Canis lupus familiaris: one gene and its partner. The protein of the gene in region 1 purifies or fractionates together with the protein of each later gene. This does not show direct contact. Links are inferred from orthologs where the notes say so. Each region holds a gene or a part of one and is shown on either strand. Other genes may lie near its edges.

Evidence for each region. Proteins that work in one complex are often made in the same cells at the same time.
Region 2: the proteins of FGF11 (region 1) and SIRT1 purify together in Homo sapiens (affinity purification with mass spectrometry; 3 studies listed by BioGRID and IntAct, with this or other methods). This does not show direct contact. The link is inferred for Canis lupus familiaris from reciprocal best matches to the Homo sapiens genes FGF11 and SIRT1.

What each region holds. Positions count from the first base shown.
Region 1 is NC_049226.1:32,573,700-32,577,816, reverse strand, and holds the start of FGF11 (fibroblast growth factor 11), read right to left. Parts: upstream 2,801-4,117; 5' UTR 1,078-2,800; coding exon 885-1,077; intron 1-884. Other genes in the region: TMEM102 (transmembrane protein 102), read right to left, coding at 3,144-4,117.
Region 2 is NC_049225.1:19,918,923-19,922,438, reverse strand, and holds part of SIRT1 (NAD-dependent protein deacetylase sirtuin-1), read right to left. Parts: coding exon 3,480-3,516; intron 2,773-3,479; coding exon 2,693-2,772; intron 1,615-2,692; coding exon 1,428-1,614; intron 1-1,427. UniProt on the Homo sapiens protein: NAD-dependent protein deacetylase that links transcriptional regulation directly to intracellular energetics and participates in the coordination of several separated cellular functions such as cell cycle, response to DNA damage, metabolism, apoptosis and autophagy.

The DNA of each region.
Region 1 (4,117 bases):
GGGGTGAGGAGGGCACGAGGGGGCTACCCCTCGGGGAGCCGGCCGCGGGCGGGAGCCGGGCCAGAGGGACTCCCGCCGCCCGTGCCTGGACGGGGACCACGCGCCAACCCTCACAACTCTCCTCCCCTGCCGCTGGCTCCCGGCCGACTTCCTCGTACCCCCTCGCAGGTGGTACGACCCCCCAGTCTCCGAGCGGGTCTCTCGGCCCGTGCTGGGTCTGAGTTCCTCGCGGCGGAGGGTCCCCCGAGCGTGTGCGAGCGGGTTTCGGAGTCGCCGGGAGAGGGTGGGTTCTGGGGGTATGGCCGGCTCCCCTCTTAGAGCGCAGGTCACCGAGGAGGGCGCTCGGAGGGGCGGGCTGGCGAGGTGGCTGCAAGGACACCCGGGGGAGAGCTGGGGAGATTGGCGCCCAGCCAGGCGGGCACGGCCAGCAGGAACGGAGCCAAGGCGTGGAGGAGCGGGAGAACCGGGGCGGGGGCGGGGCTGCCGGAGCTGCAGAAACCCTCGGGGTGACCCAGGCGTCCGGAACCCCCAGGCCCCTCCGCTCGGCTTTGAAAGAATCGCGAGAGCCGGCACGTAGGCAGCGGACGGTGGGGGTGGGGACTCCTGCGTCGGATGGGGGGGGCGACCCGGGGCCGCGAGGCTCGGGAGCCCGGACCTAGCCCCTCAAAGCTTTCCCCTTGTCTTCGACAGCAAGGAGACTCGGGGTTATGGGCAAAAGAGAAGGGAAACTGAGGCACGGTGTGGCAGATACTGTGTGGTCCCGGCCCACCCTCCTTGACTTTCGGGGACCACCCCCTCAGTCGGGCCCCATCCTTCGGAGTCCCTGGCCTCAACCTCCCAGGCGGAGAGACCCCAGGCCCGGGGACCCCGCTCCAGACACTCACCAGGGCCGCGGTCCGGCCGCGCGGGCCGCCCCCCGCACAGTCGCACCTTGGACAGCAGGATGAGGAGCTGCTTCTGGCAAAGGGACTTGGTGCCGCGGGGACACACGCGCCGCTGCGCCGACACCGGCCGGCTGCCCCCCGGCTCGCGGACCTCCCGCTTCTGCCGGATCAGGCTACTGGCCAGAGCCGCCATGGCGCCCCGGGAGGAGAAACCCCCAAACTGGCAGGCGCCCGGAGCGCGCTGGGCTCCTCAAAGAGAAGCCCGCTCACCAGGGCATGCTCTTGACGCTGAGGTCCCAACTCACCGCCTCACCCACAGGACCCGAGGATAAGCCCCAGGCCTCCCCACCCTCCAGCTGCTGGCTCCCACCCTTGGGCCCCGTTCTAGCTCCACTCTACCCAGCAGCCTGTAAATCTCTGTCGACCCCACCCTCGACTTTTGGCCCCTACCGAAAACTACTCCCTCTCCTGTTCTTTCCTTACCCGTCCCCAGATCCCTTAGGCCAACGTGAAGACCCTCAAAATTCCCAAGATGTGGTTCCACTACCCCCAGCCATCTTTCCACCCTATTTTGGGGACCTGCACTGCCAAAATCCACTTCTATAATCTAAAGGGTTCAAGTCCTTAGCTTTGAATATATTAGCTCAACCCCATCCCTACTGGGGCACTGTCAGTGTGAGGGAGGGACCCAACCTTCGTGCCTTTGCCACCCTCTAAATGGAAAGGATCCTCCACTTTTTTTCCAGTTAAGTCCCCCAAAACTATGTCTGGGAAAACCCAGGCTGTCCCCGTTCAGCGACTAGGGGTTCCTGGGCCCTGTCTCTGGACAATACCTTGTTTTCACCAAGTCACCCCCATTTCTAGTGGCACATGGTACAGCTGCTGATCCCCTTTCCTCACCTTGTTACCCTCCACTCCTTTTGAAATCACCTCCAAATCCACCCTTCCCAGTGGATACACCAAGTGGTTGTCTGGAGGGCCTCTGTCACCTCGAAATAGGGAGCATCCGTTTTTTTTTTTTTTTTTTTTTTTTTTCTGATTGCCCCTTAATTTCCTCGGGGACAGCTGGTGCTGTTTAGATCCCACGCCCCCTCCCAGAGGAGTGCACCCACGTTATTACCAGTTCCCGAATGTGAACAGGCCCCCTACGAGTCAGAGTGCATCAGAGCTTTCTGCGACAGGGCTTCTCATCTTCCCCGGGACAGCCTAGAGCACCCCCTCTTCCTTCCCCGACGCCCCTCGACCTGTCCTGTCTCGTTGATCCGGCGACGGGTGGCGCTGGCTTCTGTTCCAGGCTCCTCCCTCCCTGTCCCTCGCCAGCCGAGCTTCCCCCAACGCCGGGCTAGGCGCCCCGGACCCCCAGGAAGGAGGAAGGATGTCTCCGCAGAGCGCCCGGGTCCGGCGAAGTCAGAGCACTGGGCCGGGCGGCTGGACCAAGCGGCGGCAGCGGCAGCGGCAGCGAGAAGCTGAGGCGGCGGCGGCGACAGCAGCTCTCCCTCCTCCGAGAGCCGGCCTGGGGGCGGGGCAGGGGGCGGAGACGCCGGGAAAAGGGGAGTGCAGCCGGGCGGGCGGAACCCCAGGGTTCCTCGGAGGCCAGGAGTGGGGACGGTCTCGGAGGCGGGCGGAGCCGAGGCAAGGCCGCCCGTCTTGGGGGTTCAGAGGAGGAGACAAGGAGGTGACTCCACTGAACGGAGCCCTAGATGGGAGGGGAGGTTGGGCTTCGGATAGATGGAATGGCGGACGCTGGGAGAATGGAGAGAGGGTCCCTCCTGCCCGGCTTGGGAGGGCAGAAACGAATGAGGGAAACGGGGTAATAACGGAGTAGGCGAGGGTGGTGGTGAGAGCCAGCCCTGGGCGCAATCCGGCCCTCAATCTCTCCGATTTTGTGTGAGCCAAATTGATCAGTCCCGGGTCTCCACACCCTCCTTTTGCGTCTTGTCAGCAAATATACACCCCCCCCCCACCCCTTCCCAATTGACTCCTAAGAGAAAAGACCAGAAAAACTGGGGAAGATGGTTGCCAGAGGATGCGCCGGGCTGGGAGGTGTGCTGGCAGCAGATCTGAGTAGAGATGCCAGAAATGGGACGACCTAGGCCAGGAACGGGGCAGGAGGATGGGGAGAAGCCCCGAGGAGGCCTTCCAGGCTGTGCTCTTCGGGCCCAAGGCACTCAGCGCGTGACCTCGGCGAGGGGCTAGCAGCCCCCACCACATCCCGCTGGCCAACAGAAGCACTTGTCCACGCGGGTAGGAGCAGCGTCTTTAATGGGCCCCGCCTCCCACGCCGGCCAAGCCGCCCCCCTTGCGTGCAGCCTTAGCCTCCTCCACCGCGGCGCGCAGGGCCCCGGCAGGGTCCCCGCGGAGCCGGGCCAACGCCCCGAGCAGCGCGGCAGCGCCGTCCCCCGCGCGGAGCTTTCGGCCGCTCAGAAAATAGTGGGGCAGTGTCCCGGCCTCGAGCACACGGCCCAGTTCATCCAGCAGCCCGAGGCAGCAGGCGCCCGCGTTCTCGGGCCGCGCGAGATAGAGCGCGGGCAGCCGCTCGCACGCCCAGTAGAGCAGCGTCCGCAGGAGGTAGGGCGCCGCGGCCCGGGTCCCGGCCACCAGCGGGCGCAGCAGCGCCTGGGCCGCCGCGTGCGCCTGCAGCAGCGGAGCGGGGATGCGCGCCTTGAGCGCCAGCTCCTGGCGGGCGAAGCAGAGCTGCCAGCCGCAGGCGCCCGGCGGCTCGGTGTGGCCGCCTGGCACCAGGTAGAAGGATGCCGACTCGGAGGCCAGCGGCCCGGCCCACGAATGGCTCCGGGCTCCCTCGGGCCAGCCGGCCACGGACACTACGGGAATTAGGTCGAAGAGCAGGAGGTGGCGCGGGGGCCCCGGCGTCGCCAGGAGGACGGTGGTGAACCCCGCGTGGCGCGCTGCGTGGACCAGACGTGGGGCCCCCGGGACCGGGAACAGGGACTCTGCGACCGCGGCCAGTGAAGCGAAGAACCACGCAGCCACCTGGGCGGGGCAGAGTGTGGGCCACGCCTCCCAACGCTCCGAGGGCCAGGGGATGGGGCTGACGACCGCTGCTTTCCTGAGGTCACCATTCAGGGTTTTCAGTGGGGTGGAAAGCTCCAGATCGATTACGTCTTGTCCCTCTGGTCCAGATGATTGATCCAAAGACACGGTTGGCTCAGGCTCAGTGCCATCGTGCGGCTGGTCTACCGGGCTTTGCCGGTCCTTGGGACTTTCTTCGCTTT
Region 2 (3,516 bases), on another chromosome or scaffold:
AGCCATTACATATTGGTAGGGAAAAGATACAGAATTGTAGAGCTGAACTCCTGTTTCTTCCAACTGTTTGCTCTGGCTCTATGATTGCTCGTGTAGGATTCTAATTTAATTCTCTGATTAAGAGATTGATATTTTGGGTGGCGCAGTCAGTTAAGCATCCAACTCTTGGTTTTGGCTCAGGTGGTCATCTCCGGATCAGAGATCAGTCCATGTGGGTCTCTGCACTTAGTACAGGTGTCTGCTTGAGATTCTTTTTCCCCTCCTTCTCCCTCCTCCTGTTCCTTCCTTCTGCTCTCACATGCTCTAAAATAATAAAATCCTTAAAAGTTCAATATTCTCTCTCTCCTCTCTTCTCTCATCTTTAGGGCACACCTGATGTTAATGAATTAGTCCCCTCTAACTTCCTCTCCCCTTGCTTCCTCACTAGAGGGAGAAAAGAAATAATATGAGAGTACATGTTAAATATTCCTGAGAGTAAACAGGACTTAAAATTGTATTTGAGCATTTTCATATACAAACACCCTTATAGGTAAAACTGATCCACATACAATGATTTCTTTTTGAAGGTTTTATTTATTTATTTATGAAAAACACAGGGAAAGGCAGAAAGACATAGGCAGGAGGAGGAAAAGCAAGCTCCATACAAGAGCCCAATGCGGGATTCAATCCCTGAACTCTGAGATCACATCCTGAGCCGAAGGCAGATGCTCAACCACTGAGCCACCCAAGCATCCCCCACATACAATGTTTAGGACAAGGCATGACTGTTACTTTTGTGAGACAGAGAATCCTAAGCAGGCTCCACACCCAGCACAGAACCTGATACAGGACCAGACCTCATGACCCGGAGATCATGTTCTGAGCTGAAATCAAGCGTCAGATGCCCAACCAACCGAGCCACCCAGGCACCCTAAAACATGACTGTTATTCTTATAAAAACAAGACTATATTGAGCCCCCAAATTCTCTAACATATTACAATTCTATAGATTACATTCATATCTAGCTATACATTTGAACTTATTAAACCTAATATCAACTAAATTTGAAAGATAAACTATAATCTAAGACTAGAAATAACAAAAATTAAGGACTGTTTCCTAAGCATAGGTGAATTAGCTGAAGCTAACTCCTGTCATATAAAAAATACATTCTGCTAAAAGTTGAACTATTTCCCTTTGTCTTAATTTTTCATACACATCACAACTTGACATTACTTCTGCTTTGATAAGCCTCTCCCACACCCCCTACATCAAAATGTCATATTAACCAATCTTCGTGAATGTTGAGTATCAGCTAAAAAGTAAAGTTTGGCTCTTCACCACTCTTTAACCTGAAAGAGAATAAGATCATTGGGTCCACTGTACAAACCCCACAACCTATGGCCATCTATACAGAAATATTCTCTAAAAATCATCAGCTACTTACTTGGAATTAGTGCTACTGGTCTTACTTTCAGGGAAGACCCAATTACAATGAGGAGATCAACTTCGTCTTTGTCATACTTCATGGCTCTATGAAACTGCTCTGGTAAATTTTCACCAAAAAAGACAATCTCTGGTTTCATGATAGCAAGTGGCTCATCAGCTGGGCACCTAGGACAACGAGGAACCACCTACGTGTTCCAGATTTTGGTTGAGATTGGGGGGAGGGGGAAAGCCCAAGTTAGAAATAGTCAACATTTACACACTTCGCAAGAACACATTTCAAAATTATCAAGCTGAATCACTATATTGTACACCTGAAACTAATACTGTATGTTAACTACAGTAGAATTAAAATTAAAAACTTAAAAAACTAGAATTCCCACATAAAAAAAAGATGTGTTTTCAAGCTGAAGTGTGGAAGCATATGAAAAAGGGCCGTGTACTTAAATACTTAGGGGAAAAAAATTACCGAAGAAAACAGAAAACCTGTGGATAAGTAATAGGGAAAACTGGATACAACTCTCAATGGCAATGCCAAATGACTTTATCAACATACGATCAAATACAAAGATGTTAATATCTGAGTATGTAGCTATTATAATGTCCAGGAAGACACCTACATTTGATATTTAAGAGTCCACAGCAGATCAAGCATCTGTATATATGTATGCACAGGACTTAATCCTTTAAAAAACGTAAGAAATTATCCCTTTTTAATATGCTATTCTCCACTCATAATTATGTATAATTAACTATATATACAGCTAAGCACATGTAATTTATATCGGGATGATTTTTATTCTCTGTCATTATTTTCCTGAATTTGTGTTTTGGGGACAGTGATCATACATGAAATACCTTTTATAATAACTTTTTAAATATTTTAAAGGATTACCAAAAACTAAATTTAAGATTCAGAATCTGACAGGCACTAAAAAGGGAAAGTAAGAGAGACTTTTTTTTTTTTTTTTTTTTTTGAGAAACTCTAATATATCCAACACTTCACTTATGATTTGGGCTTTTAACTTAGATATTAAGAAGCCAATTTCATCATTTTAGAGACATTATTTATAGAGCAATGTTTTCAACTTAAGGGATTAAAAGGTTCTCGTATAGATCATCAGAATTCGCAATGCTAACATTATCTTCCTGGATCTTTCTGTATCACAAACTTTCAGAAAAAAAAATAAATAAGAAAAATGTGAAAGCAAAAGAAGAAACAGATCACAGATATGCACAATTTCTAAAATACAGGTGATAAATTACCTGATTAAAAATATCTCCTCGTACAGCTTCACAGTCTACTTTGTATTTACAAATCAGGCAAGATGCTGTTGCAAAGGAACCTAAAAAACAACACATGCACCGCTAAAAAAGATTTCTATTTCTTTAAACATACCACAAAGATTATAAAGTTTGACACCAGAAAAGAGAATTGACACTCCACAGGGGAAACTCAGGAATAAATAATTAAAATACAGACAGAATCCAATCCTCAATTATTGAGATGTTGACATAGTGACACTTCCTAAAGATGGTCTTTCAATGAAATAAACCAATTCCTTGAAAGTTAAAATCTGCAGAGTTGGAAGGTTGTAATTGTATGACCTTAGCTTAATTAACAGTTATACATAAAAAACGTAAGAAAATGGTCTGCTCCTACTTGTTGTTTTAGATTGGAAAGTCTTCTAAATATCTAAATTCTATACATCTGAATTACCCCATTCCTTTGGTTTCATAAACTAAACAGGTCATATTTTTCTTACATGAGTTAGTATTACTTTTGTAATCAAAGGAGGTTATTTAGAAGAATTTAATGGAATACAACCACTAAACCTTTTGAAACACAATAGGACATTAAGCTGATATTTTGTACAATTAAGTATCAAGGCCAATAATTCTGGTTTAAATTTTTTGCACCCCATTTTTTAAAACTTATCTACAACTAATCAGATAACATGACTAAATTTCCATTTCAGGAAAGCAGCCTACTTTCTAATCCTATTTTTTCCTATAAAACTAAATAAAAGAAATCAACTCTGAGGTTACTAACCATGACACTGAATTATCCTTTGGATTCCTGCAACCTG